Caenorhabditis elegans: one gene and its partners. The protein of the gene in region 2 interacts with the protein of the main gene of each other region in a pairwise test. Each region holds a gene or a part of one and is shown on either strand. Other genes may lie near its edges.

Region 1 (10,146 bases), 5.9 Mb from region 2:
TTTGAAATTACAGTACTCTTTCAAGGTGCACGCTTTCTTGCATTTCTCAAAAAAAATTTCGTGTCGAGACCTGGTACCGTATTTTTTGTGCAAAATTGTAAAATTGGGATAAAAGGCACACAACTTTTATGGTAGAAAAACATATTACCAAAAACTACTTTCTTCCAAAATTTTTAACATCTTTTTATCTAAAAAAAAAACCAAAAAAAATCTAGCTGCATAACTGAACGATGCACCATAAAATAAATACTCACAAAATGAGCACATAGCCTTGTGTCTTGCTCGAACCCCATTTAAATTATTTACGAGCTTTTTGAACAATTTTTTTGGTTTTTTTTTGTAGTAAAGCCAGAAAAGGCCGAGATTTAGAGATCAGAAGAAGCATGCTACATACACAAATTTCCAGTTGACCGATTTAGTGAAAAATGAGTAAGGAGAGGGGGAAGAAATCAATGAGGAAGGAGCATCTTGTGTGCTCATGGGTCCATCGTTCTCACTTCTTTTACTAAAAGACCACATTCGGTTTGATTAGCTTTCTCTGTGCTTCTGCACATCCTCTCTCCTAACTCTCTATCTCTTCCCATTCATTCCATTTTCGAGAGAGAGGCAAAGAGAGGTCAGGTCAACCAACCCCCCCTCCCCCCCCCCCCCCCTTCAGTAGCAAACGCGCTCGATCGTACGGCCCGCGAGCAGTCGCGTGCATCTCCGCGCCCTCTTCCACTCGACACACTATCTCGTCGTGTTTGATCTGCAGGTTTTCGGGGGTACGGTAACACTGCAGCCCCTATTGACTGCCGGCCTCTATGGGGGACAGAAAAATGGAGAAGAAGAGAGATAGAGAGCGGCGGAGACAGTAGAGAAAATGGTTGAGGGAGAGGAGAGGGTACGTGAGAGAGAGAGAGTGAGTAGGAAATACACACACAGCATTGTTCGATTTCTCGTCGTCGTCTCTCATTTCTCCGCTGCTTTCTTCGATTTTCGAACACCACGACCGCACTGAATTTTTCGGATTCTGATCTGATCATCATCTCAGCCCATCATGTGACTGTGTTTTTTTTTGTGAATCAGCTTCATCATCAACATCGTGTTCTAGACACGCTTCTTCGACTTCAGATGTTTTCTCAATTGATCTACCCCTCCCCGTCCCGTCTAAACCGCATGCGAAACTGGTGACCAAAATCGATTTTCTTTCAGATTTATGAGTAGAACGTAGCCATCTCTCCGCATAGGATTTACCATAAGCGCAGTGCTTATGAATTCTGGTGAGTTTTGATTTTTGAAGGTTTCAGATATCTGGGTCTCGCCGCGAAGATCTTAATTCTGGATGAAAAAGCTCTCCTGTTGATGGACCCTGCCAGTGAACCAAAATTCATATTTGAACCTCTTTCCTATTACCGAGACGGTTTTTCGTCAAAAAATACGGCTCCCGGTCTCGACACGACAAATTTTCCCTAAATGCAAAAGGCTATGCGCCTTTAAAGAGAACTGTAATTTCAAGCTTTTGTTGCTGCAAGATTTTCATCGATTTTTCATAGTTTTCAAACAAAAATATATTTGTTTATTCTAAAAACTCAATTTGGAAACAATCGGTTGAAAAAATAATAAAAATCGATGAGAATTCTGCAACAACACAAGTTTTCAACTACAATACTTCTTAAAGGCGCACACACCTTTTCGCGTTAAAAACATTTCCGGGTCGAGTTTTGGTGTGGTGCAAAAATTTGAGCCTGGGGAATAATTCCGTCTTATTTCCGTGAGAAATCCTTCGAAAATTAACGTTTTTGTCGAAAAAAACCGTGAATATCAAAGTGTGTTCGTGGCGAGACCCATCCGAATAAATCCATGCGGAAAATCGATTAATTCGAATTATCGATCGCATGAAAATAATTTTAAATTCAGAAAGAAAACTTTAAATTAAAATTAACCAAAGCCTATTTTCAGTCGGTGGAGTAGCTACCGAACGACGATTGCCTCAAACGCAGCAATTTCTTTCGCATTCCAACTTTCACTCCAACGCAACAATTATTGACGAGTCCCAGTTTCCATCACTGGGCGCGAAAGGTAAATTCACTGATTTTTTTTTATTAGCTTGAGAATATTCTTAAATCTATGAAAAACTCACTGTCGAACTCTCATTCTTATTGTTAAATGGAAAAAAATTAAAATTAAAATATTAAATTTGACCTGCTTGTGTGGAAGTCCACGGAAATGTTTTCCTTGAATCTTTCATCCTTTTTATCAATATTTAAAAAAAATTAGAACAATTATTTCATTTCTCAAGGCATTTCATCGATTTCTATTCAGGAACGTCCTCACTCGGCGGCGGCGGATTCTCCCCAATCCCAACAACGAGCGGAGGTGTTTTGAACGTTGCCCAGTCATCGCCGTCGAGAGATCTTTACGGCGCACAAAGACCCAATTATGGTAAATTTTACTTTTTTCTCTTTCTGTGTGATGAAAAGCATGAAGTATCAAAAATTAAAAAAAAAAGTACGATAGCTGGTTGTGAACCGCGAATATATATTTTTTTTTAAATCAATTTTTGTTTGCTCTTTGAAAATGCGCGCGCGCGAAATTCTGATTGAACATTTTAAAAATTACAATGCGTGTTTCATTCTGTTTTGAACGCAATTGTGCAATTTTTCGATGTTGGCAACTTCTTTCCGTGAGTTTTTAGGCAAAACGCAAATTTTCTGATAAAATTTACTCATTTTTACTGCAAAATTCCGATGAATTCGAGAAAAAACCGCCGAATTCTTTTGGAAAATTTTATTTTTTATTTAAGAAAAATCAATATTGAATGTGTGCAAAAGTCCGTGACGGTGGTTGCGTATTCCATGATCGACCGTACCCCGCAGAGATTTTTCGTTCAGAATTTCCATAAAAATTCTCCGAATTTTCGCAGTTTTTGTCGTGTTCCTGTGTTGTTAAACCATGCAAAAATTAATTTTCAGCTAACCTGATGAGATCGGACCCCAGTCTAACAAATCCCGAGTTCCAAATACAGAACGAGGATTTTCCCGCGCTTCCCGGCGTCGGTTCTGGTCAAACACAGCGATCAATGCTTGGAGATCAACTGGCTAACGTACTTAAATTTAATTTAATGTCAACAAAATTTCTGCGTCGATGACAATCAAATAATCGATAAATTATTGCAGATGTTAGCAGACGACCATCAAGTCGACTTTGCTGGACCCCTAGGCGATTGTGACCCCTCGCGGCTCAGCGGGATATCAAGAAATAGTCAAGAAGGACCTATGCATGGGATTATTACTCATCCTGATGGTGGGAATACTTTAAAAATAAGCATTTAAAATAATAATTGTTAATTTCAGGCGAAGTGACAAACATTCCAGCGTCAATGCTTGACGATCAGTTTGGGATGGCGGGTTTGGTGACATATCTTCGGACAGTTGACAATCCTTCCATTGTTTCACTGGCGTTAGGTTATGATCTTACGACGTTGGGCTTGAATTTGAATTTGTCAGAGTGAGTAGTGGCCTGAAAAGCCCGAAAAGCCCAGAAAAACTCTAATTTCCCTCTGTTTCAGACGAAAATTGTACATGAACTTTGGTGGTCCGTGGGCCGATTCGCCGATTCGAGCACACGAGCTCGACGTGAAGGTGCCCGAGGAGTACATGACGCATAATCATATTCGAGACAAACTTCCACCGCTGCGATTGAATAAAGTTTCAGAAGACGTGTTATTCTATCTTTTTTACAACTGTCCAAACGAGATTTATCAGGTGGCGGCGGCGTGCGAATTGTAAGTAAAGTTTATTCCAAAAACCTGCATCGACCATGACCGCGAGCGGAGCGTCGTGTTTAAAAAATTTATTTTAGTTTTTTTTTTTCCCCGAGAATTTGTGATTTTCATGAATTTACATATGAAACGCATAAAAAATTGGCCAAAATGATAGAAAATCACTCGTTCTGGGCGAAAAACTTTCAAGAAAATCCGCTTTTTCGTTAAGATCGCATAATTGTTCATCATTTTAGTTGATTCTTATTTCGCCTCATATATAAATTTATGAAAAATCATGTGAATCACGCGTTCTTAGCGAAAAGTTAAAATAAAAATTATTGAGCCGCTCCGTTTGCAGTTACGTCGCGGTCGAAGTTCACGAATCAAATTATTAATAATTTTAAAATTTTAGCTAGAAAATTGAAAAAAACATATATTTTATGTTAGCAATTGAGAAAATCTTTTTTATCACGAAACAATCATTATATTTTCAAATTTTTTGCAGGTACGCTCGCGAATGGCGATTTCACAAAAGCGAACAGGTGTGGTTGACGCGTTCTCAGTACGGTGGAGTGAAAGAACAGACGGGAAATTATGAAAAAGGGCATTACAACGTGTTCGATCAGATGCAATGGCGAAAAATTCCGAAAGAGTTAAAGTTGGAGTACAAAGAGCTCGAGGATCGGCCGAAAATGCCGCAATCAGTTTCCGGACAACCGACACCCTACAAATACTTTTTCCAAGGACCACAATTTCCGAGCGGTCCGGAGACGGGTCTGATGCTTCAGATGCATAACTTGACGCTCGGCACAGGTGGCGGCGGTGGCGGACAAATCACTCCACCGGCACCAGCGGGTCTTAACGGAGTTATGGGTGGTGGTGGTGTTGGAGCAGCTGGAATCGGAGGAATCAATGTGCAACCGGGAGCCGTTCCATCGGCGGCGCGAGCTACTCCAAACTAAACAAGAAGAAGATGATCTCTCGTGTGCAAATTTTCTATATCCCACTTTCGTCATCTTGTTCTCGAATTGCTCCCTTTCTCTCTCATTTTCCATCTCTTTTTCCCCTCTTTCTCTCCACATTTTCTCTCCCAATCTCCCATTTTTTTCCTTCGTTTTCCTTATTTTTCCTCTTTTCTCTACGTTTTCGTATAAACGATTATCGATATACACAAGTTGCTCTTTGAAAACCTGTGATTTTTCAAAGAAAGAGCTTCACAATGACTGGCGGCGGCGGTTTTCTCTGTATTTTCAGTGGCGCAACACCGAACTGATAAGACGGGGAAAAAGGCTGAAAACAAGATGTTTGTCGATGACAAACTCGCCTACAAGGGGGTTCTGATATCGTTCCGTGATAGCAACACAGTTTCATTCGATACTATTATTGTTTGTCATGTCGTCGTTGGCTGAAATCGCGTCGAGACCCGAAAACTTGGAGCTTCTTGCTGAAGGAAAAACCAAGCAAATCTTTGATATTAAAGGAGAAAAGGTTGGTTTTTTTCACTGAAAATTCAAAAAATTTGGGAAAACATTAATTTTCTACTAATTTTTTAATGCTTTATAGATTAAAATTTAGATATTTTAAAAGCGCCTTTTGAAATCGTGATGCAAACGCGCTCCGCGAGTAATCTGACAAGCTCCGCCCCAAAACGTTGGGTCTCGTTGGGAACGTGAATTTTTGACGATCTCACCCAATTTTTTTTGCATTTTTCAACATAAAAATCGTTAAAAACAACGAGAAATGATTGGAAAGTGCTGGAATCGGCAAAAAAGTAGGATTATACGGTTTTACCGCCAATACCTAACGAGACCCGGTTTTCAGTTATCCGTGGCGCGCTTTTGCAGCCCAAGTCACATTTTTATGCGTCTACATAATATTCAGAAAAGCGTGTCCTAGAAACACGAAAACTCGGCCAACCGAATTATCAGAAGAGATTTTTCAGAAGTATGCTCAAAATAATCTTTGAAAGAAATGTTCGGTTTTCACTGTCGGTGAGTGGCCGAGGTTTCACGTTTTCTAGGCCACGCCGCAAATAGCCAGCTTGTGGCCTAGGAAATGAGAAAACTCGGCCACTCTTTCAGCACATTTTTCAAATACACGTACGGAAAATTTCCTGTAAAAACGGTGTCTGAGCTTTCACGGAGCCTAGAAAAAACTCGGTCAATTTCGTAAATTTGAAATCTATTTGAATTTTTCCGTTTGGATTGCGATAATAATGTGCTTTTCAACAAAATTGAATCCAACTTTTTCAATTTCTGAACAAAATCTTTTCAGGATTATGTGCTCATTCGTTCCAAAGATAGCTTGACCGCATTCAACGCTGTCCGTAAAAATGAGCTTGAAGGAAAGTCTAGAATCGCAAGTAAAACCACATCAAACGTGTTTGAATATCTTCAACTTCTCGGTCTACCAACACACTTTGAAAAAAGCATCTCTGAAACTGAATTTGTCGCCCGTAAATGCACCATGATTCCGATTGAATGGGTGGCACGACGTGTTGCGACAGGATCCTTCTTGAAGAGAAATCCTGGAGTTAAAGAGGGTTTCAGATTTAATGATCTGAAATTGGAGACATTTTTCAAAGACGACGCTAATGATGATCCACAATGGACTGATGAACAAATTGTGTCGAATGGTTTGATGATTGATCATTTGAAAATTGGAAGAGAAGAGATTTCATTGATGAAGAAGATGACAAAGTTGGTGTTTAGAGCATTGGAGAAAGGATGGGCTCTTTCAAATAGTGCTCTGATTGATATGAAGGTGAGGGTGTTGCAAAGTTTTTATTATTCTCTTTTTTTTTATCGGTCTCAACTTTAAAAAGTAAACATAATAAAAAGTATGTAAGTTTAATGTTCGGTCTGCAATATATTCGTTTTGTAAATATTTACATTTTGAAAGGAAATCAGCACCATTTAAAACTGGGTGTTTTCTGTAACGTGTCGATTTACGCAGCTTGAGTACTTCACGAGGAGAAGTGTGTTTTTCTTTTCGCTGAATTTTACAATTGTCGGTTGTTGTAATTTTGAAATAATTTTGAAGAAAACCTGAAAATTCCAGATCGAATTCGGAGTCACAGTTGAAGGAGAAATTCTCCTGGCCGACGTGATTGACAATGACTCGTGGAGAGTTTGGCCTGAAAATGATAGACGTCTGCAGTTGGATAAGCAAGTTTACAGGGATATGAAGGAAGTGACAGAAGAGGGGTTGGCTCTCGTTTTGAAGAATTATACAAAGGTTAGTAGGCCGAAGCTTAGGCCTAAGCATATGCCTATGCCTGAGCCTAAACCAAAGACTAAGCCTAATCCTAAGTTTTAGCCTAAGCCCATGTCTAAGCATAAGCCTAAGCCTAAGCCTAAACCTAAATTCAATCATCCTATATATCAATTGTTAGATTTTTACGCGAATCAAACCTTTCGTGTAAGCACAATAACTTGCCTGCCTGCAAGGCGATCTGCACCTGATTTCTGCCAATATGCATACCTACAATTTTCGGTAGACACGTTGAGTAGGTAGGCAGGCACATAGACACGAAGGCGTATCTACCTACCAATAACATTTCCAGGTTATGGATATCACTGCCACCTTCTCAAAACACCAGCAAAAATGCCATGTTCTTGTGATCATGGGATCTGGTTCGGATGGCGTATTCGCACGGAAAATCTCTGATGAAGCCAAGAAATTTGGACTGGAAACTACGCTGAAAGTAAGCTCAGCTCATAAAACTACCTCGGACACTCTGGAAGTTATCGCTGATTTCGAAGAAAGTGGAGTTCCGACAGTTGTGATTGCAGTAGCTGGAAGATCCAATGGACTCGGTCCAGTTATTGCTGGAAACTCGTCTCTTCCGGTAGGACTTGAAAGATCAGATGATCTTTATTTCAAAGAATTCAGGTGATCAACTGCCCGCCACCAAGTGAATCAACGAGTCTTGACATTTGGTCATCACTCCGAATGCCGAATGGAATCGGGTGTACTACAGTGTTGGACCCATCGGAGGCCGCGCTTGCCGCCGCAAAAATCCTCGCGTCTCACAATCATATTGTGTTTGGAAAAGTGCTCACTGCACAGCTCAAGAATCAAATCAACATTTACGTAAGTGATAGAGATGTGAATTTCTAATTTTTGAACTTTCAGAACGCCAATCGCAAACTTGAATAGATGCAGGACTGAATTGAAATCAGATTTTTCAAAAACTTTCTTGTGTAAATTAACTAATTACTCAACGTTCACTTTTATTTCAGCATTCTTATATTAAAAACGAAATGAAATGTTTGAATCTTAAACTTTCAACTGCACATTCCACAGCACGTGCAGAAGAAATCCACGTGTGCCGAGACATCCACGAGAAGATCAGTCTCTTGAGTCAGCTGTCTCCGTTGCTGACGTTGACGATTATGGGTATCGTAGAGTTCTGGACAAGGCATTCCGGCTGACAAAACACCTACGAGAACTTGAACATTTCGAGTGTCCGATGTTCGGACAACTCCCGAGCCACTGTCACCCTGGAATCAGTGGAAACTATTAGGCATCTTGGGCAAGTAGGCATTGTTCTGCCTACTTCTGAAGAAACACTTTTAAACTTTAAAAACAAACATCACAAGACAATCCTCTATTCACTGCCGACGTACAATACACCCCGCCATATGGGAAATCGTCGGAGCACTCCGCAACAAACGAGTATAGCGATTTCAACTTTCCAGACTCCAAAACACTATCCGAAGCTGGAATTAAAAATTTCAAAAGATCACATAAAAATCGGAACTTACGATCTCTTCCATAACCAAAAAGCTTATATCCGGTTTCTCTGATCCTCGGGATCTTTGGAGCAGATGGAAGACAGGCTGGGAATATGTCTTTTGAGAATTCGATGGGTTCTTCCAATTCGAACACGGCGATGTCGTTGAATGATTCTCGATCAATGCAACCATCTCCGACATAGCCTTTTCGGATGTAGAGCTGTAAAGAAAATATGTGTTTAGTAAGACTAAGTGAGCCTACGTCTAAGCCTAAGCCTAAGCCTAGGTTTGCGTCTAAGACTAGGCCTACGCCTTAGCCTAAGAAAAAACCAAAGCCTACGCCTAAGCCTAATTGTAAGGGTAATCTACTCACCGACTTTATCGCCAGTGGCTTGAACATATCCTTCCTATGCAATCCCTTACACATCTCTGGAACCGCACATGTCACATTAACGAATGCCACGAAATTCTTATAGTCTCTCACGAAATACGCTTCTCTGAGATTTCCAGTATCACAGTCAGGCAGAGGATCCTCACTGATTCCGATCAAATGAGCAGCTGTTACAATATGCCATGGAGAGACTAATGTTCCGGTTCCATGCTGAACAAATTCATTTTCCGAAAACTTATTTCCGCCGTTTCTAAAAGATCCCGAGCCATCAGAAATTCGCTTCTTCATAGCCAATGAGACCGCCCATGGGGCTTCACCAATTTTCACTTCTTTACCGTACAATGCCTTGTATTCCTCAGAAGTTCTGCGATGAGAGGACAAAGTGGTAAATCCTGGCACATATCTTCCACAGTTTGCTCGTAGAATCCGGTTTTCTCGTGGGCTCAGCCTTTTTGCAAAGGTTTGGTAGATCAAAATTGAAAAGAAGAAGAAACATGAAAATGTAAACCAATTCATTGAAGAAATAACAATAATTTATGAAAACAGTGACCGGTAGAAGTGAGTGAGTGAGAGATGGGGAGAAGCACCATATACACCCCCAGAATTTTATGGGGGGGGGGGGATGTTTTATAGATCGTTTTGCGTCGGCAATAAGTAATTAAATTTACAGTACTCAAGAAAACAAAGTCATTAAAGTCATGGGTCTCTGAACTCGGCATGCCAAGGGTTTCCAGAGAAAATGTGAGCCCAGAAAATGTCGGGCACTCTGAAAATTTTTTTTCGGGGGTTTGTGAAAGTGGGTAGGCACAAGGAAGGCAGGCGAGGAGCTTTAGAATAACTTCGGTAACTTAAAATCGATAATCCTTGGATCCAGATTCCGAAACCGGTGACTCTGGAGGTGCTATTACTTTCGCCTTTGTCCTGTGCTGAGATCCCCGTTCACTTTGTTTCGCGCCCAGTGGGAACTTGATTCTCTTTACTGGCGCTTTCTTCTCCACCGCCGTTACTTCGATGATCTGGGATCCTCTAGGATCCGAAGAGGCATGGCTCATTCGCTCGATTTCGTTGTTGCTCACTATCATTGGATTCAGGTCAACTGTGACTCGTCGACGGAGTTCTGGAATTTCGTCTTCTTCCTTGATTTCTGCGCTATTGAGATTTGAGTTCTCCAGGGTCCCATTCAAATTGTTAAAATTGCTCTCCGGAATCGAAACCGAGTCCTGATTTGGCAACCTGCTCAACCAATCCGTTGTCTTTGTAATCGGAGTCAA
Region 2 (12,424 bases):
CCTATATTCCCACCACTTCCGTTATACCCCTCTCTCCCTGCACCTTTCCCATGGTTGCCTGCCAGCCAAAGGAGGCGTGGCCTATGCACATCCAACGAGACGGTCCCCGCCTCTAGACGCGTCCGGTTGCAATTAGTCAACAAGTGGGGGCTATCAGAATTTACTTTCATTCATACATCTTCTTCTCATTTTTTTGTTTGTTTTTTAGTTCCAGTATTTACTTTAGCTGTTTTGAGATTTTGAGAAGTGTATTTAGTATACATTCCTAATTATTTTTTGCCCTAAATTCTTTAGAGTCTTACAGTAGCAAATCTACAGTAGTCTATAGCTATGGTTAAGAGTTTCAGCTACAGTAGCAACATAGTTCTACCTCACCAGAAATAGTATTGCTACTGTAGCGCTTCCAATTTCTAGTTTTCCTTAAATTAACCAATTCTCACTTCATTTTAACATTCTTCCCCCGAATTCTCTATGTCTCACCTCACTATCAGTCTTCCAAATTTTCACCTCAAGTACAGTACATCTGAAACTCTAACACCTCCCCATGCATTTTACTGCCTGTAGATCCCTCTTGTTTACCAACTTCTTTCATGTTCTTCCGGTCTGCCGTTTCACTTCCTTTTCTCACCTTGTCGGACCCCTAGCTCTCCATTAAAGGATTAGTACCGCCTGAGCATCCGCCCGGCTCTTCACAGTGTCGCCTCTCACCAGGGGTTATCAAACCAATATGGTCAAGAGTTGTGGGAAACTGTGTCATGACTCAAGTGCTTTTTTCCCATGCACACTTATCAAATGATTCCCACACTGATAACTCGGCACGTCTTTTGTGGTTGATAGTGATGGGAACCATTGGGATATAATTTTTTTTGGCGAAACGACACAAAAAGTGGGTTTTTAGGGTTTAAGGCAATTAAATTTCTACGAATAAGATTCTAATCTAGAAAAAGAAGGCGTGCTGTAGAAGTGAGGGGTACTGTAAATCGCCACGCTCCCTCTTCCGAATGGTTTATGACTTTTCTCTATATCTCCTTCTCTTTCTCTATATTTCTCAAATTCCGCAACATTTCTCCCTTCTTGATTTTGTTCATTTACAAATCGAGCTATAAAAATCAATAAAAACTTAATTTTTTTTCCAGAAATGGTCCTCATCAGTACCCCACCACCAGCTTACGCTCATAACAGAAAAACATCACAGGAGAAGAAACGACGAGATGAGATTAATGCAAAGATCAAGGAGCTTCAACTATTGATTCAAAATGAATCGGATAATGAGAAAATGACGTGAGTTTTCTATTCGTTTAGTGTTATCTTCATTCAAATCTTACTAATTTTCAGCCAAGGTGATGTCTTAAACCGTGCAGTCGAAGTGGTCAGTCGCATGGAAACCGAATCACCTGGACCATCATCAAATCCAAATCGCAAAGGATTCTTTGACGGATTCCGATCAATCGAGTCGCTCACTTATTCCTTCATCAAATCCCTGGGCGTCAATTCAGATGTCTGTCAGGATTTTGTGCAACGTGCCAAGCAGTTTTTCGATCGAGAACGTTCATCTTTGCTGAGCACTGTATCTGGAAAATCAAAGAGAAGATCTGAGTCGGAAATTCTCCACTCTTCAATGAGCTATAGATCCCAGTCAAGCTCTCCATCGACATCGGAATCTGGAATCACAATTGATAGAAAGGAAGTGAAAAAGAATAGAGAGCAAGATAGAAGAGATCGTCAGGGAGAAGCTTTTGATGCTTTGAAGAACTTTATCATTGAGAACAAGCTCATGACATCTCATCAAGTGTAAGCTTAAATTTTCCCAATACCATAAATTAAACTTTTCCTTTTTTCAGCGAAAAAATGCAACGCTTGAACACCCTGGATATCATAATTGCCTACATTCAAAACAAGAAGCACAATTTTGTTAGTCGAAGCGACCAGGAGCAGTCACTCTATGCACATGCAATTGCAGAGGGAAAGAAGACTGCAAAAAACATTGCCTTCCAATTTTTCAAGGTGAGTTGTCAGGAACTTCGAGAAGATTTTTTTAAATGTTATCAATATATTTTCAGAGCGACCGTCACCTCGTTGTCCGATGCGCAGACCTTGAAAAGTTCTTCGAATTCTCCTTATCACCAAAGCCACTCTTTGGATTCCCATCCATGCCCATCCCAATTCCACCACCATCATTCCCAATCTTCCCATTCCGGCCATTCCCATTCTTCCCAATGCCAATGGCACCAATGGCAACAAGTCCAAAATCTCAACAGTCTCCATCATATTCACTGGATTCTCCACCACCATCATCCGATACTTCTTCGTCATCAATCGAAACACCATCCACTCCAAATGAGAACTCGAATTCCAATCCTAAAGCTTCAAGAAAGAGTAAGCTGTTCAGACCATGGGAATAACTTTTCTAAAAAATATATCTCCTTTAATTGTAATTTAGTGTTAAAAGTATATATTCTTATTAATAATTTATCAACCTCAAAATGTTATCGACTTTTTCAACTTATCATATCATTATCATCTCACAACCAAAATCTAGTTTTATTGTCACGGGCTATTAAGCTTACCGGTAGGTTTTATAAATCCTTAATTGTTGTTTTCCCTCAGTATTCATAATATTTATATTGAATTTTCCGATTTTCAGTGATTTTGAAGATTAAATGACTGCAGAATAAAGTATTTATTATCTCTATTATAGTGTTGTATTCTGGTACCTTGTTTCCCATGGCAATTGGTTGCTCATTGCCACGTGTCTCGATAGAATGATGTGACAGTTTTTATTCTCCCACCACCTTGTTCCAGACAGACGACTAATTAGTGTTTTAGTGGGAAATGGTTAATACAATGATACTTCTAATTCAGAGGGTTTAAATCCACAAGGAAAGTATTTCCGCTCTAAATTGAACTTCCGAATGTAACCTAGCTATTTTTTTCTTTGTAAAGTTGATGCCTTTTGAAAAAAACATGTTGAACATTTTGCAGATTTTTTTCAACATATAACATTTTTCGAAATGGCTTCCGGATGATAATCTAACCCTAAACACCCTGAAGCATTAAAAATCTCCATTAAAGTGAATGCATTTTGAATTTAAAGCTGAGTTTGAAATGTAAACCTTTTTTGTGATAAACAAATATTTTCGAATTCCTCAAAAGTTCAAATAAGAATTGCCGATCTTTGAGGTTTCTCTGTTGTTTCCTGCGAATTGTCATCTCGCCGATTATTTGGCCGTTCAGTATTTAGAAACAGTACATTTTAGCCTGGTGTGCCCCCGATACAAACTTCCTTTGTCATCTTTTCTCATGCAATATTTTCCAGAAAAGTTTTGTATAAAAATGCACTGATGCTGGAAACTCAATTTTTGCCACAATTTTTTCCCGAAACTTTTCGCATCTTACTTATAAATATTTGTACTTTAGTTTAGTAAGTTGACATTTACAAATCAAAAGTGCGTAAAACTTTTTTAATGCGGAAACCCAGAGAAAAAGTGTGTTCGGACTGTTGAGGCGATTGTCTCGAAGTTGTTGGCGAACCCGAACCGGTCCGCTTTGTTTGTCTCTCAAAACCTCTTCATTTTCTTTTATCTATCATATTTCACCTATGTTCTATACACCCATTCACCCCCATTTTATGTATGTGAAAAAATGAAAATTTGCATCTGAATTCAGAATATTTTTGTCGTTTTTTATAAGCATTCCTTTTAGGTGTCAATTTTAACATCTCCAAGGAAAATGGTTTCGAGTTTTTTAAAAATTTATATTTAGAAAGTCTGATAACAATACTTTATTTTAGGATTAATGTTAAGATCCGAAATTTTTTCATAAATGTATGGCTTCTTCCGCAAATGCAAAACAATTGACACGACTCTAAAAGTTTTCTTTTTTTTCTGTGATTTATATGTGATGTAATTTTTCTGTGACTTTGTTGCATATACATATGTAGAGTTTAAAATAATTTTCTAAAAAATCAATCTTGACAATTTTTCACTTATATGTCTAAAATTTTTTTGTAAATTTAATTGGGTAAGTTTATCTATGATACTATAATTTTTAAAAAATCGGGTTACAATAAAATGTATCACAGCTTTCGTTTTTCATTAGCAAATACTTTGGAATAGTTATAGAAAACTTTTAAATGATCATAAATGTCTTCAAAGTAAATAAATACAAATATTGAAGCGTCTTCATTCCAATGGAATGAACAAATTGAAAATCCGATAAAGATTTAATTGAAAAATATTGGAAATGCTCCTCTTCTTCTTTTTCACATTCACATCGTCCATTTCTCTTCAATCAACCAAAGCGATTCGAATTTTGTTGAAACAATATTCTTTTGCTCTTTCTCTTTCTCTTCCAGTTTCCAGCCCTTTTCATTCAATTCTCTTTTCTATGTGTGAAGCACCAAAAGCACAAAACTCGAGGAGCATTTTTCTTTATCAAAAAGGAATTGTGAAAATTTCCCAATTTAGTCTGAATTATTTTTCCACACACCGTTATCGAATTGTGCTCCTCGCCGTGGCTAGTATGACGTTATCATACTGTCATTAGGTCATATGTATTATATTTCACACTTTTACTTTATTGTGCTCCTTTTTTCTTGAAATGTCATTCTTTTTTCTTGCAGTTGTAGAATTTCCGGAAACTTTTTTTTCTGAAAATATAGGAATAGGGAGTTGATTGGGTTATTGGAGCTCGAATTAAACTGAGGGTAAATAAGTTTTTAGGAAATAATTTTGAAGGGCTGTGGTGCTTTTGTCAAAATATACGCGATTTTTTAAAAACCAAATATGAAAAAAAAAATTTCAGTCACGGTTTTGGCAAATTTTCAAAATTTTGAAAAGTGTGATTAGTTGAGATATTTCAACTATCCTTGCACATTTGAGCCAATCTTTAGCACAAAGAATTAAAGCATAAAACACATTTTTGCCGGCTTTCAAAATTTTGATAGATAAATAGTAATTGTTATAGAAACTTCTTTTGCCAATTTTGCAGAAAACTTTCATAATCTCCAATCGCAATTTTCTTGTTGAAAACCTATTCATTCCTCTAATAGAAACTACATTTTTAAAACTTATTTATAAATTAATTGGAAAAATTCACAAATATCCAGGCAAATAAGACATCTTGTTTAAAAAAATGTAATATCTTTCAATATTACTTGAAGCCTTCCCAGCCGCTTCTTGTGAATTTTCTAAAAATTTCTAAGCGAACTATTTTAAAAAATTAGATTTTTGATCAAGTTCTTGTTTTATATTCTTTGATTTTTTTTTCAAACGGGAAAGTATGATTGATAGTTTTTTTACCGGAAAAATACAACAATTTTTGATAAGAGATTATTCATTTTAACAACTGAATTGCATTTCACTAGTTGAATAAAATAACTTTTGTTATGAGAAATTGAAGAAACACCACATTTTCGTAATTGCTTATAAGTTTTAAATTAATTTCTAAATCAGAAATTCTTTCAATCGTTCTTTTGCAAGGAAGACCGTTAAAATTTTCTTTTTTATGTGCATCCAATTTCATAAATCCTTCAATTTCTCAGCATGCAACACGGCTCACTTGGCCCATCATCGTCGTCTCGAAAGACTACAGTAACCAGCACAGCGGGCTCCGTTCACCTTCATCACCGCTCTTCAAATGGTTTCTCGACAGCATCACGAGCTCAATTGAACCGTCACAATGAAATGGATTTTGGGAAAATGTTTGCGGCAATGGAGAAAGGTCACAAAGTGTGCAAAATTGCGGTGTTGAAGAAATGGGATCCAGCCTATAAACAATTAACGTTGGATCGGTACTCGAGGCAGATTTTTCTGACAAAATTGGAACTGTCAGCTGTTAGGTAAGAGGATAAGTAACATCGCATGAAATTCATTTACATTTTTTTCAGAAATAAACCGACAATTCTAGATATTCGACAAATCCGTGAAGTACAGACATTGAATTACAAATTGAACACAATTAAAGTAGATGATAAATGGAAAAAGGATCGAGAAATCGTAAATTTTGATTCAAAAGCCATTCTAATCATCTCATATGGAATGGGATTTGCTCTTTCCTATTGGATTCTTTTGTGTGAGTTTTTGTTAAAATAATTATTCAATAGTTTGAAAGAAAAATGTTATAGTTGAAAGTGAGGATGCGTGCAAATTATGGTCACAAGGACTTCATAATTTGATGATGGACACAAGAGATCGAGACTCATCCCCTCATCCATTGAGAATTGAACGATTTCTGCATAAACACTTTTTGAGTTTAATGTCACCGGCTAATGATGCGTAAGTTCAAAAATTGCAGAATTTTTTAATAATAACAATTTTCCAGCGTTGCTCGAAAGCATATGAAACCATTTGTTCAAACCTCCCTCCAATTCAAAGTTCAATCTGATCAGCTCCAACAAGTGACAGAAGATCAAATGAATTCTGATCAATTCAGTTTTGCCAGTCGTCAACTTATCCATGTACCTGAACTCTTCTCTTCAAGATTCGCTGATCTTGCTGAAAAACATGAACGAAAAGGTCTTGTGGTGACGTTTCAAAATTTTTTGCGATTTCTTGATGGCAAACAATTCGATGAACTTGCCTCGAATCGAACGAGAGCTTTGGAGTTTTTGAATCGATATTTTCAAGAAGATCAAGCATATTTTGGAGATAGAAATGAGCCTTCAATGACTGTTTTCGAGTTTTGTGATTTTTTATTTTCAAGGGAGAATTCGCTGTGGGACCCAACAAATGAGAAAGTTACTCATGATATGAGCAGACCATTGTCTCATTATTGGATTGCCAGCTCGCATAATACGTTTGTTTTTTTTTTGGTCTATATAAGTGCTAAACCAGTAATTTAATTCCAGATACTTGACGGGTGACCAACTTCGATCTGAATCTTCTTTGGATTGTTATGCTCAAGCTCTTTTGATGGGTTGTAGATGCATTGAGTGTAAGTTTTAGAGACAATTTTCACTGTTTTATAAATAATTTTATTTTTCAGTAGATTGCTGGGATGGACAGAAGAAGCCCGGGTCAGCCGAGTTCATTGATATTGTCATCTATCACGGGTATACGATGACCTCAAAAATTTTGCTCCGCGACGTGCTTCACGTCATCCGTCACTATGCATTTGTTACGAGTGAATATCCAGTAATTCTATCAATTGAGGACAACTGCTCGGTGCCAGCTCAACGGCTTCTAGCTCAAGAACTGAAAGATATTCTTGGTGATTATTTATTGACACAACCAGCAAATCGTGAAGAAAAACAATTGCCCTCCCCGGCCGCGTTGAAGAAGAAAATTATCGTGAAGCATAAGAAGTTGCCGATAGAAAGCGAGGATTTGGCAGCTGTGGTGAAAACTGATGAGTGTAAGTTTTATGAAATTACTCTAGTTTCCTAGTAGTAAAGGTATAAATCATTTTGCTAAATGATTTTTGTTTCAGTCCAAGACACGGAAATCATATCTCGCGAATGTGTAAAGAAGGGGATCCTGATGGTAAAAAACAACAACAGTCACGAATGGACATCTCATGTTTTCATATTATTCCCTGATCGTCTTTGCTACCTGATTCAAACCGCTGATCCTGAAAATCCAAATGACGATACAGTGAGTGTAAGTGGAGATGAAGAACGGGAAGAAGAGACGCCTTCTGGATTTGGAGTGAAACCTGAAGAAATGCATGTGACTGAAGAATGGTTCCATGGAAGATGTGAACGGGATGAAGCGAAAAAACGGATTCTAGAGCATAAGGAGAAGGGAAATGGATTGTTTATGATTCGAGATTCGAATCTGTTCATTGGAGATTTCTCACTTTCGATTCTACATGACGGGAAAGTTCATCATGTTCGGATAAGATCCAAGATTATTGATAGTGAGTTTTTCTATGTTTTGCATGTAACATGTATTCGAGAATTACAGTAAATAGAAGAGAAACTTTTAATAAAATTTTCAACTTTTCAATTTTTCAGAAGAGAAAAAATATTACTTCATGGATAACAAAGTCTGCGACACTCTTTACGAGTTGGTCTCTTACTACACCCGTCACTACCTCACAACTGCTCATTTCAAAATGGTGCTCACGATTCCATGTCCTCAACCACAACCGCATCTTAATCAGCCATGGTTCTCTGCTACTGCTGACAAGGAAAAAGCCGAAGAACTTTTGAGCTTGGTGCCAGAAGATGGTGCTTTCCTAATTCGGACGTCATCGACTGACTCTTCAGTTTACGTTCTTTCGCTAAAAGTCGACGGCGAATTCTGGCATTATCGATTGAAAAGAGATGGAAGAATTTTCGTGGTGAATCAAAAAGTATTCGAGAATTTGAATCAAATTGTTGAATTCTATGCGAATCGAGAATTTGTTAGAGGAATTAGTCTTCGATTCCCTGTCAATGAGAAGGATATATCACACCTGACAGCTGAACTTGCAGAAGCTCGTACTCCAGGTTGCTATATGGATCTGAAGGATTTGGATAAAGAAGTTCAAGCTCGAGCACTTCGACCGTATCGAGGAACAGCTGATGATGAACTTTCGTTCCCAGCGAATGTTATTATCACAGTACTCCGGAAGGAAGAAGGTCTTTGGAGAGGAAGATATGGATCGTTGACTGGATGGTTCCCTTCGGCCCATGTACAAGAGATTCTACCAGAGAAAGTTTCAACTTCAGGTTAGTTTGAAAAAATTAATGTAAACAGTTTATCTCATAAAATAGCAAGTTTAAATTAAGTAGTCACTATCAAAAAGGGAACTGAATTTCGTGTGGGCTCACTATTATTATTTGTATTCTTTTGAAATAGTTTAGAAGCTGCCAATATATTTAGTGTAGCATCACGATATGGTTTATGCACAATGAGCATCACAATAGTTGAAATCAAACCATGAAGAGATAGCAAGCATAAAGAAATATTAGTTTGAGCTGTAATGAATATAGTAACTAGATTATAGTTTTAAAAGTGTTACCTTGATTATGATACTCCAGAGAAACTTGAATAATTACAAATAGAAATGGAATAAACATTAGTAAAACAGGAATAGTAACTTGAATACAAATTGCTCGAAATAGTCTCTTTTGTAAATTTCTAGTCCTTTCTGATTTTCTATCATCTTTTCCACTTAAATTCATCAAAAGTCGAATGACAAAATAAATAATCTGCCCTTCAATCAATGAACTAGTGATAATAACTGAATAGTGAGTTACACGGACATCCAGAGCTAACACAAAAAATCGATTTTCATCGACTTCACATGGAAATTGTTCCTTAACTATTTTGATAGCTTCCGACTGATTTGGAATACGTAAAATAGTTGGAATGACAAAAGTGAACGCCAGTAAATAGTTGAAAATAAAGAACAGAGCTCGTCTGACTTTTCGACTAGAAAACTCGAAAATAATGGTGTTATAGCGGTTCTCGAAAATGTGAAGAATTGCTACACCGGTTACTGAAATGATAAAATATAAAGTTCCAAATTTCCTGCAAAACTTACAAACAATTACAGTCAACATAACATAAATTTGAAATGGAATATTCACATCCAAATAACCCAGCAATCCCATGGGAAACCCTGACATTGACGGTAAAAGTATAAATGGAGCAACAAATAATCCCATAAATAAATCCATTAAAGTACTCCAAAAATGCAAATTAAATATGACCAATTTGACAAGATTCATTTGATTCGGGGTTTTGCACAAAATACAGTACCCTCCGAATATGTAAATTGGAATTCCAACAGCCGATATTATGTGTAGACTTATTTGTAAAAACTTGGGAGAATGAAAGAATGATAGAGTGGGACAAGAAGCTTGCATTCGATAGAAATTTGAGTTTTAGTCAGATCTGAAAAGAAGAAAAATAAAGTATCATCCCTTCTATGCTTCAATGATTTTTTAAAAATTTGATTATTCTATCAGAGTAAAGTGAAATCAAACATCAAAGTTTTCAGAAACTAGCAACTACAACACAATCGAGCTAGCTGGAACACTAATTGAACGGATTCATGATGCTGATCGTCCGAATGTTATCAGAATATCACAATCAAATCAACATTGGATGAACAAGCAATATTATTTGTTGGCTGCTTCTTGTAAGTTGTTCTTCGAACTGAAATTCTGGGGTTTACAATTTCGACAGGCTACAAATTGTGTTGATATGGCCCGAAAGAAAATAGAAACTCTTTAAAAAAATTTCAAACATTATTTAAATTAAATTTGGAAATTTTGTGACAATTGAAAGCGTACCTGAATCTACAAACTACTACAAAAATTTATTTAAAAAAAATTCAAAACGGAGAAGAAAAAAAAAACAAATTAGATTCACTTTACGCAAATATTTTTCAACCTGGATCCCAACTTAACTTAAACTATAATTTTCCAGCCTCCGAGGAAGCAGATGGTTGGCAAAACAATCTCTTCGAGCTGACTCGTTCAGTTAACACAAAAATGAGCATACTCCGAACCAAAGAAAAAGAAAAACGAATTGCCGCTGAGCTCTCAAATCTAGTCGTCTACTGTCAAGCTGTTCCATTCGACCCAGCCCATATCTACAATGACGCTTTCTATGAAATGTGCTCATTTGTCGAGGGAAAACTTGACAAACTGGTTGAAAAGGGGCTTCTTCCGTTTAATTCCCGAAAACTCTCGAGGGTCTATCCGAACGGAAGTCGAATCACATCGAATAATTATAGTCCGGTTCCAATGTGGAATGCAGGATGTCATATGGTTGCACTAAACTATCAAACCGGTGATAAACCCATGCAGTTGAATCAAGGAAAGTTTTTGGCAAATGGAAGATGCGGGTACCTACTGAAACCAGATTATATGTTAACTGATGACTTCGATCCTACGAACACGGAAAAGTTTGCAACAGCTTATCCCATTCGACTGAATGTTCAAGTGATTGGAGGACGTCATTTGTCAAGAAAAGATAAGAATAAAGGAATATGCTCCCCATTTGTGGAAATTGAAATTATTGGAATGCCATGTGACACAAAAGTTTTTCAAACTAAAACTATAGGTAATTTTTAATATTTTTTTTCCTTTTTAAAAATAAGTTTCTAAATTTCAATTAAAATTTCAGCATCAAACGGTCTTAATCCGATCTGGAATCAAACTTTCACATTTGAGATCCAGTGTCCCGAAGTAGCACTGATCAGATTCCACGTGGAAGACGGTGACTTTGTGGGACCAAAAACAGATCCGTTCATTGGTCAAGCAGTATTCCCTGTTGATTCAATTAGATGTGGATTCCGATCAGTTCCACTCAAAAATCAGTACAGTGAGGAGCTTGAGCTCTCTTCACTGTTAGTTGATGTACAAATGTGCTCCAGAGAAGGAACTCAATTGATCAGGTCGTCGTCGCATTTCTTGCAGGTTAGTGCCCAGTTGAAAAAATTTTATTAAAGGTTTCTTCAGGCGAGTCGTCTGGCTCCTGTCTTCGCTCACCGTAAGATCACAAATGGCGATAGTATCCCTCGTGAGATGGCACCTCGGTTACGAACATCAGCCACCGATCGTTCACTAGACTCTCCAACAAATTCCGAGTCAAGAGCCACTCTTCTGAGCGGCCAACGAGGTAGCCAAGACTCTATGGACAGCGCTGCCGAGTAAGAATTGAAATTTAAACTTTTGTGTGAAAATCTACTTTCAGAACATCGTCCATTGCATCTGGAACAATAAGCTCTCGGGATGGAAAGAAGAAACAAAACTGGCTCAAGAAGTTCTCATTTGGAAAAAGTAGTAAATCATAGATATAAACTCAGCACTTTCCGTTCTGTTTTTTGCCACAAAATTTTGGAGCATTTTTTATAGTTTAAGTTTAAATATACCCGGTTAGTTTCAATCAATACAAGTTACTAGTTACAACTCAAAATTCGATATTTCTCAATTATTTCCGCATTCCTCCAAATCCAAAATGTGTTCATTCCTCATCATTCCTTCCTCTTCTTGTTTAATTTTTTTGTTTTTTGACACTTTTTTTCATTTCAAGTTCAAACCTCATCGGATTCTGCTTTAACTTATGACAATTCTCCCAAACACTTCCAAGTCAATTTAATTAGTTTTGCTGAGATTTTTCTTGTACCTTTTATTATTAATTGTTAATAAAATTATGCATTTTTTGGTAATTGGTAATTTGGTAATGTTATTTTTTAAATTAATTCAAAATTTCTTTGGGATTTATTTGAGACCTAATGCATCGTTTTGATAATGCTGCAAGATTTCAGGCCGATATGGGCCGCCTATTTATTGTCAGCCTAATGGTTAGCTTCTTTTTTTGAGCTACTCAACATTTTCAAATGCAACACAATTTTTATTAGAGGACTCTGTCTTTCTCCGTTGCATATTCGTTTGCCTTCTCCTCTTCTCTATACAATTCAAAAAGTACGATGAATCACTCCAAAAACAACAACATTATATGAAAACGAAATGAAGACAAAAATA
Region 3 (8,602 bases), on a different chromosome or scaffold from region 2:
AGTAACATCAGAAATTTGAATGACCAGTTAAAATCCAGGATCTTCCAGTAAAAATTAAAAATCTAAGAACTTATTAAATAACTTTGTGAAACTGTAATTTTTTATTTATTTTTAATGAATCTAATTTCAAGTATTTCAGCGTATTTATTCAATATTTCTGCAAATAATGAGTACATGAGTTGCATAATGTGGAGATAAAAATTCTTGCCTACCTTGCGAACTTTTCTATTCGCTAACTCAGTTACCAAAAAAAAATTTGAAAACTAGTAAATCTCTACTGACACCAAATTTCACAAAAAACTGCAAATGAGTAGGCGACTGGCAGGCGCCAGAAGATGTACCTGCCTACCTTGGGAAACAATAATTTCAGAAAAACGAAATCTAATTTCAAATACCTTCTTTCTTATGCCAAGATGTCGTAACTGTTAAAACTTTTTTGGCGAATTTTATGAGGGAACAGTCTTAAGAGGCAATTCTCTAGGCAAATATGCTCCTTATTATTTTTATTGGCTCTGACACTCAATAATTTTTATGTTAAAAATTTCAAATCAAGTATATTCTGTAGATTTCTGAAATTTACACAAGTTATTGAATTTATAAATTTGCTTAACTAATTTTTTTTTCAACAATTCTAATAGTAAGTTAACGAATACTTAACTCTTACAATAAAAATTAAGTATAACAGCAGAAAGTGACGATTCCAAGCAAAGCAGGTTTGAAAAGTAAGTACTTTTACATGAAGATTTTGAAACAGAAATTTTTAATTTTTAATTTTTCATCAAAATTTTTTGCAACATAACAAGTTTAATAATCAATTAGTTTTTCTTTAAGTTTTCATAAAATATTGTTTCCAAAAATGTTATTCCTTTAGTACAACACACTAATTTCAAAAAACAAACCGGTGTCCTGAAAATTTTGATTTAAAAACTTTGAAAATATGAGAAAAACAATTAAGAGGTAAAAACAAGTTGAAAACTAACGTCAAACATAATAAGTACTTAAAGAAACCAAAAAAAAATGTATTGCGCAAGTGTCACAAAAATAAAAGACCAAGCTACAAACTACAATGTAGTGTGTTAAAATTAGTTTATTCGAATTTTTAGCTTCAATCGATATTGAATTTTGCATTTGAAAAAATGTTTTAATATGCTCATCATCCCAGTGGCACAAAACATTGCATCTCGGTGATTCTGAAGCGATAACCCATCCCATTCCACATAGTTCCATTGACTTTCTGCTCATTTGCTCCGGGACTCAAGTCAACCTTCAATTCAAAAAAATGTGTTAATCAATTTCCTTAAACTATTTAAATTCCAAATATCTACCATTCCAGGGATTTTGGTTATATACCAGTCCTGATCATCTCCACATTGCATACCAAATTGGGAGAAATAATCGATTTTGTTGGCCCCGTTGAAAACCGGATAGAATCTCTGAAAACTAAGAAAAAATGGAAGCGGATAACTATCAAAAACTTACAAAACTGGTCAGTAGGTATGGATTCAGTGTAAAAACTGATGGCGGACCGGCCGCCAAATAACTATTTGGCTGATTTTGGGCGCAAAGAATTTCGTACAAACATCCGTCGTCTGATACTTCTGAGACTTGAAGTTTGTTGAGAAAACCTGAAAATAGTGATATTTACCGTTTTCCATGAATATCTATACAGTAATCCTACAGTACTCACGGTCTTGTACTCAACCAAAAAAAATTAGGCGTGCTCAACGCAGACTTTGGTTTATGTCGGCTGCGTATTCATCACAGGATAAACCAAAGGTCAAACTATAAACTACAAACTACAAACTACAAATTACAAACTACAAACTACAATACTAACAGACGTTAAGTTCTAAAATACCTGTATTAAATGAATTCGGTGATGAACAGTCGCACTTTGTTCGGGATATTTCTGTTATAATTTTAGAAATTTTAGTGGTCGTAGTAGAAATAAGTGTTGTCGAATAGCTAGCAGTTGTAGAACTTTTCACAATTTCCCCGGTTTCAATAGTATTTGAAACAGTGGATGGAGACGTTTTCTCGGGCAGAACACATGCTAAACTATCTGGAAACCCATAAGCCGCCAGGAAGATCAAAAATACACCTAGACCCATTTCTATTGCTGGTTGGAGAACTGTTTCCTTTTTTATATGAGTGCTAATGAGGTCTCATTACAGTTTTCAAATGCATATTGATTAGATGAAACGTGTATGTTATGTTAATTTGAGCAAAAAAAAGTTTCGGTTTCATAATTTTTGTTTAAAATTCGAGGGGAAATGCTTATTTAATGCTATATTCCTAGTGAAAAAAGTAAAAGTACCCGAACTTTTAAAAACTATATGAAACAGTGGATTTCTAAAAAGTTATTTTGTCAATGCTGCTTTGCAAAAAAAGTTAGAAATTTCCATTTTGTAGTTAATAAGTGATATTCAATGGTTTTTCTTTAGCATAAGCTTAATTTTTTTTTGTTTCTTTTTTGACTTAAAAAAAAATTAAAACTCGAATGTGGGTATGAGTTTTTAAGGGAGTAACGGAACAGTGATTTTTTTTTGTTTTGCAGCAGTCTTCAAAATATGGCACACGAGCCAGTTAGTAGGGAGCATTAATCAAATTAAGCTTCCAAGAAATATATAATTCATCAATCTTTAAAAAACTTATTAAATTATTGAAAACAAATAATACAATACGGACGCAAACAAACACTTTTTAATGTTCCAGGTAATTTTCAAAACAACTGCGCAATGAAAACGCTCAATTTATGGATGTAAATGTCTTTTAAAATGAAAAAACAATTTTTTTATGATACTGACTCTAGTTTTTAATTTCAAAGAGGTAGTTAAGCATGATAAATTATCCTCTTAGAAAAATAAAATTACATTCTAAAGTTGATTTATTATTTTTCAACTGTAAAATAAATGAACATGATCGTTAATATTATTTATTGCAAAAATATAAATAAGTATTGTATTGTATATACACATAACTAGTGTCACAATTATACATTGGATGACTACATTCTCTTGCAACATTGTCCATTTCCACACGGAGAATAGTTTTGCTGGCAAGAGCAGGAGTTGACTGATTGAGTGAGGCATGGCATCTGGACTAGTTGAGCAGTAGAGCACGATTGATAGCATGATTGGGTGCATGCTGGAGCACATTGCTGCATTGGTTGTTGTTGTTGAATGCATTGTTGTTGGCATGATTGTTGGCATTGTGGAACACATTGAGCAGATTGAGACACTGAAGGTTCTAGGATGACAGTCACAATTTGTGGAGCAACAACTGGAGATTGGCATGCTGATTGGCATTGCTGACATTGTGGAGCAGCTGGTTGCTGACATTGTGGAATACATTGTTGTTGGCACTGTTGAGTCTGTTGGCACGAAGTTTGACATTGTTGGCAAGCTGGTGCAGATGGAAGTGTGCATTGTGGAGCACACTGTTGCTGGCAAACTGGAGCATACTGCTGGCAAGTATTCTGGCACTGCTGGCACTGTGGAGCTGATGGCTGTTGGCATTGAGGAGCACACTGTTGTACGCATTGTGGAGCTGCTTGCTGACAGGTTGTCTGGCATGGTTGAGTACATTCCTGATAGCACTGTTGAACTGGAACTTGTTGTAGAAGACATTGTTGTTGACACTGTTGTTGGCATTGTGGAGCACATTGAGCAGAGATTCCCAAGTTGACATTGATGACTTGTGGAGCAACAGTTGGAGCACATTGTTGAACACATTGCTGCTGACATTGTGGTTGACATTGTTGAATTGGTTGAGCTTGAACACATTGTTGAGTGCACTTTTGTTGGCATTGTGGAACACACTGGACTGTGACTGGAGCTGGAGCAACACAGGATTGTTCACAGGCTGGCATGCAAGATGGTTGACATTGGACTGGAGCTGGAGCAGCTATTTGAGTATAACAGGAAGACGTCTGACAAGTCTGCTGGCATGAAGATTGACACTCATTCATAGATGGAGCAAATTGACATTGGTTCTGGCAAGACTGCTGACAAGCTGGAGCACATTGAGAAGTTTGCACTTGGTAAGTTACTTGCTGAACTGGTTGGGCACATGAGCAGGATGTCTGGACTGGAGCAGTGTTCTGACACGAACAACTGTACTGTTGTGGTTGAGTTGCTTGTTGGCATGAACAACTTGGTTGAACTTGTGAAGCACAACCACATGATTGACGTTTATCACGAATTGATGTTGCCTGGAAAAAACTTCTGTGAACTTGGAAAACAAGCATTTTGTTGCTAACATCGATTACGTCCAACAAATATTTGTAAGATGTGGGCACTTAGAAAACTAGACCGTATTATCAAGAACATTTTGAAAAAACTGTACATGATGAATTTTTCATCAAGTGATGGAAAATTGTTGTAGTTAATATAATATTTTTAATTATTAATAAACCGAAATACTAACTGAAAAAGTTTAGAAATGTCGTGCCATTCTAAAAGTGAAAGTACAATGAAACTTTATCAAACCTCGATAAGCAGACAGCTGGAAGCAAAGAGAGCTACAAATACGATGAAACGCATGATAATGGTTGAAGAAGCAGGGCTTGATGATTTCCACAGATATCAAGGCTTTATATACCCCCTCAAACACTGCTTGCGTACGATTATAGCAATGTAAAAAAATAGTGCCGGAAAAAATAGTCCAAGAGTTCAAGTCTTGTAATTTCGAATGGCTATTGTGAGAGCAAACAAAAAGGTGTTTCTAATAATGAGTGGCGTCAAAAGGCAATAAACAATTTAAAATCGTTTTGTCGAAATCCGAACTCTAAAGTTCAACAGGTAACCCTTTCATTACTTTTCTGAAAATGTAAACGAAATTTTTTGGTACACATAGTTAAGCGGAAACTCGGCGCAATCCAAAAAAAAAACACTGTATCAGTGCAAACGCGCACCCAACCTCTTTTTGATCTTTGCAACTTGCCGTGCCCTCAAGAAATAGTGTGTGTAAGACTGGGAGGCGACGAGCGTGTTTTTTGGTTCATTTGCCATGTTATCATTGTTATGTTTGCGCTGAGCATGAAGCCGGTTGATGGATGGAGTTTGATAAGTGGGACGGAACTGTTTGATGGCTAATGAAACAGGGTTGTAGGACGTTGGTATAAAAGTCGGAAAAATTAAAACAAGGGCATCAATTGTCTCTTAGCAGCTCTTCAATCATATTGACAATGCGTTTTATTACAATTGCAGCAGTTCTTCTTGTTTCTAGCCTTCTTATTGTTGAGGTACGATTTGTATTACTGTTGCTTCACTTACTTTCTGAATTATCTGTAGAATTAGTTAACAATTTATATGTACACCTTGAAACATTATATTATTTCTAGGCATCTTCAATTCGTGATAAACGTCAATCATGTGGTTGTGCTTCACAAGTTCAACCAAGTTGTTCATGCCAACAAGCAACTCAACCACAACAGTACAGTTGTTCGTGTCAGAACACTGCTCCAGTCCAGACATCCTGCTCATGTGCCCAACCAGTTCAGCAAGTAACTTACCAAGTGCAAACTTCTCAATGTGCTCCAGCTTGTCAGCAGTCTTGCCAGAACCAATGTCAATTTGCTCCATCTATGAATGAGTGTCAATCTTCATGCCAGCAGACTTGTCAGACGTCTTCCTGTTATACTCAAATAGCTGCTCCAGCTCCAGTCCAATGTCAACCATCTTGCATGCCAGCCTGTGAACAATCCTGTGTTGCTCCAGCTCCAGTCACAGTCCAGTGTGTTCCACAATGCCAACAAAAGTGCACTCAACAATGTGTTCAAGCTCAACCAATTCAACAATGTCAACCACAATGTCAGCAGCAATGTGTTCAACAATGTGCTCCAACTGTTGCTCCACAAGTCATCAATGTCAACTTGGGAATCTCTGCTCAATGTGCTCCACAATGCCAACAACAGTGTCAACAACAATGTCTTCTACAACAAGTTCCAGTTCAACAGTGCTATCAGGAATGTACTCAACCATGCCAGACAACCTGTCAGCAAGCAGCTCCACAATGCGTACAACAGTGTGCTCCTCAATGCCAACAGCCATCAGCTCCACAGTGCCAGCAGTGCCAGAATACTTGCCAGCAGTATGCTCCAGTTTGCCAGCAACAGTGTGCTCCACAATGCACACTTCCATCTGCACCAGCTTGCCAACAATGTCAAACTTCGTGCCAACAGACTCAACAGTGCCAACAACAATGTATTCCACAATGTCAGCAACCAGCTGCTCCACAATGTCAGCAATGCCAATCAGCATGCCAATCTCCAGTTGTTGCTCCACAAATTGTGACTGTCATCCTAGAACCTTCAGTTTCTCAATCTGCTCAATGTGTTCCACAATGCCAACAATCATGCCAACAACAATGCATTCAACAACAACAACCAATGCAGCAATGTGCTCCAGCATGCACCCAATCATGCTATCAATCGTGCTCTACTGCTCAACTAGTCCAGATGCCATGCCTCACTCAATCAGTCAACTCCTGCTCTTGCCAGCAAAACTATTCTCCGTGTGGAAATGGACAATGTTGCAAGAGAATGTAGTCATCCAATGTATAATTGTGACACCAGTTATGTGTATATACAAGACAATACTTCTTTATACTTTTTTAATAAATAATATTGATAACTTTAAGTTTTTACTCAAATTTAGAAAAAAAAAAAAAACTTTGACCACTGAGCGGATCGAACGCCCAACCTTTCGATCTGGAGTCGAACGCGCTACCATTGCGCCAAGCAGTCACATTTTCCTTTGTCATCTAGTGCAATGACACGAAAGGGGTAGAGAGAAAGGAGAGAATAAGGAGGGGACATATGGCGGTAGAAAAACCGGTGACGGACTACTCTCTTCATCGTTTATCACATATTCTGAGTGTTTGTTTTTTCAAATTTAATGGAGGAAATAGATAGAATAGTGAGGAAATGAGAATGTTATTGATTTTCATGGCGGCATTGGTGTGAAACTTGTTGCTCCTACTGACGCGATTGTGCCAACTCTTGACTGTTTAATCTCTTTGAAACTTCTGAACAGAATCATTCGAATTCCTGGAAGTTTGTGAGGTTTTTCTTGCACGGGTTGTTGCAAGCACCCGACATCTACCGGGTTCTCGATGTGAACATATGCTGAATCCGCTAGAAGTCAAGCGCTACGGAACACTATGGAAAAATGAAGACCGCCAGATGTCGGCTGCAACTGAAAGTTTTGGGAATTTGCTTACTTTTTGCAGTCATTCGATACTCCGAAACGACATACATCACAATAAGTGAATCCGTGGCTGGATACAAAGTAAAGCTGCACAGCATTACTCCAGACGGCAAGCTCACATCTAAGTTGAATAAAGGAAGGAAAATTATGACAGTTATTGGAATGAATAATATGATCGTCGGCATTGTGATCTACATTGTAACAATTTTAGTAATCGGACTTAAGCGGCCGACACCTTGCGGGTTTTCTGTGGAAACCCATGAGGTGTCGGGCGCAAAGCAAAATTTATATACCTGAAGGATCAATGTCTTGAAAAACTGTTTATTTTGTATCTGAGACCTGGTCTCTCGCCAAAAAGAAATAGGTTCCCAGTGCATACTGGAAGCCGAAAAATGAGCAATAGGCGACCCAGATCAGGGAGTAGAAGCCTTTGAAATAGGCGAGCTTGTTGGTGCTGAAATATAAGAATTTTGTGAAGCGCCAGACATATTCCGGGTTCAGCATTAAAAAACAGAAACCGGGCGATGTCGGGTGCTTTTTTCTCGCTGCAATAAGCGCCCGACAACTCCCTAAATTATTTTTGTTTAGGTAGACGTCGGTTGCAGTAAATAGGTTTTTGTTAGAGTTACTGGTGATTGATCGTACTACGAGTGAGCTTAGTAATGCCGCTGCTTTTAAATCAACATAGTGAAACTGTAAACGTAATAACTCACTCAAAAACTGCTCAATATCTGTAAATAAACTGCACAGATAGTAGAGACATTGTTGCAGAATGGAAAAATGTGTAGCCTGCTGAAAATTTACAGTTTCAACTGAGAAACTTGATTTTGGACTGGCCTAGCGGAATGTTTCTCGACCATGGCCCACTTAACCAAAATGATTCTTCGAAACTGAAGAACAATAGAGCTGCTTTGAAGTTGTGCACGTTCTAAAATTAGTTACAAAAGCTGCAGCCGACACCTGACGAGTTGCAACACTTCGGAACCCGTTAAACGTCGGGCGCCACAGTAAACCTACCGGGTACACAACAATCTCCACTGTAGCAAAACACATGCCAAGTGCGGTGAACGCGCTGATAAGGTACTTATAGGAACCGAAATTTCTCTGGGCTCCCAGATAATTCAACGAGAGAAGTGTTAATCCAAACGTTAAAGTTAACAAAAACCCAAGTTTCGGAATGAAATGAGTGACGAAAATCCAGAACAAAAAACTGCCGGTCATGTTCTAAAATTGGAAGAATTCGAGTCAAGAAAAGTAAAAAAATTGAAAATGTTTCAGTTTATGCCGACATTGAAACAGTAAACTTATGGTAACATTTTTAAAATTTTGATCTCAAGTTTATGCTCATTTTTACATCTAATTAGTAAGCTAAAAGTGTGAAAAGTTAGTTC

What was found.
Region 1: the proteins of plc-3 (region 2) and paic-1 interact in a two-hybrid assay, tested with the Caenorhabditis elegans proteins (one large-scale study listed by BioGRID).
Region 3: the proteins of plc-3 (region 2) and pqn-90 interact in a two-hybrid assay, tested with the Caenorhabditis elegans proteins (one large-scale study listed by BioGRID).

The regions. Positions count from the first base shown.
Region 1 is NC_003280.10:4,367,507-4,377,652, reverse strand, and holds paic-1 (Phosphoribosylaminoimidazole-succinocarboxamide synthase), read left to right. Parts: upstream 1-5,127; 5' UTR 5,128-5,137; coding exon 5,138-5,233; intron 5,234-5,745; exon of another isoform or gene 5,746-5,815; intron 5,816-6,019; coding exon 6,020-6,508; intron 6,509-6,805; coding exon 6,806-6,982; intron 6,983-7,310; coding exon 7,311-7,595; intron 7,596-7,639; coding exon 7,640-7,840; intron 7,841-7,882; coding exon 7,883-7,906; 3' UTR 7,907-8,028; downstream 8,029-10,146. Other genes in the region: ntl-2.1 (NOT2/NOT3/NOT5 C-terminal domain-containing protein), read left to right, coding at 1,253-1,262, 1,942-2,061, 2,305-2,424, 2,955-3,085, 3,159-3,285, 3,336-3,489, 3,551-3,766, 4,251-4,707; try-9 (Peptidase S1 domain-containing protein), read right to left, coding at 8,035-8,250, 8,342-8,469, 8,515-8,704, 8,858-9,163; Latrophilin-like protein LAT-2, read right to left, coding at 9,724-10,146.
Region 2 is NC_003280.10:10,217,335-10,229,758, forward strand, and holds plc-3 (1-phosphatidylinositol 4,5-bisphosphate phosphodiesterase gamma plc-3), read left to right. Parts: upstream 1-5,542; 5' UTR 5,543-5,543; coding exon 5,544-5,839; intron 5,840-5,887; coding exon 5,888-6,072; intron 6,073-6,124; coding exon 6,125-6,275; intron 6,276-6,321; coding exon 6,322-6,795; intron 6,796-6,847; coding exon 6,848-6,933; intron 6,934-6,984; coding exon 6,985-7,353; intron 7,354-7,428; coding exon 7,429-7,857; intron 7,858-7,954; coding exon 7,955-8,653; intron 8,654-8,683; exon of another isoform or gene 8,684-8,708; coding exon of another isoform or gene 8,709-8,902; intron 8,903-8,946; coding exon of another isoform or gene 8,947-9,426; intron 9,427-9,471; coding exon of another isoform or gene 9,472-9,796; intron 9,797-9,930; coding exon 9,931-10,071; intron 10,072-10,361; coding exon 10,362-11,000; intron 11,001-11,063; coding exon 11,064-11,356; intron 11,357-11,398; coding exon 11,399-11,589; intron 11,590-11,633; coding exon 11,634-11,733; 3' UTR 11,734-12,106; downstream 12,107-12,424. Other genes in the region: Regulator of fusion ref-1, read left to right, coding at 1,139-1,281, 1,336-1,791, 1,842-2,004, 2,061-2,402; srh-135 (Serpentine Receptor, class H), read right to left, coding at 8,709-8,902, 8,947-9,426, 9,472-9,796. UniProt on the Caenorhabditis elegans protein: Mediates the production of the second messenger molecules diacylglycerol (DAG) and inositol 1,4,5-trisphosphate (IP3) which plays an important role in the regulation of intracellular signaling cascades.
Region 3 is NC_003282.8:15,287,849-15,296,450, reverse strand, and holds pqn-90 (Prion-like-(Q/N-rich)-domain-bearing protein), read left to right. Parts: upstream 1-5,188; coding exon 5,189-5,245; intron 5,246-5,262; exon of another isoform or gene 5,263-5,284; intron 5,285-5,314; exon of another isoform or gene 5,315-5,344; coding exon 5,345-6,550; downstream 6,551-8,602. Other genes in the region: Y73F8A.10 (Fibrinogen C-terminal domain-containing protein), read right to left, coding at 1,154-1,264, 1,326-1,433, 1,480-1,625, 1,859-2,111; pqn-91 (Prion-like-(Q/N-rich)-domain-bearing protein), read right to left, coding at 3,008-4,213, 4,491-4,544.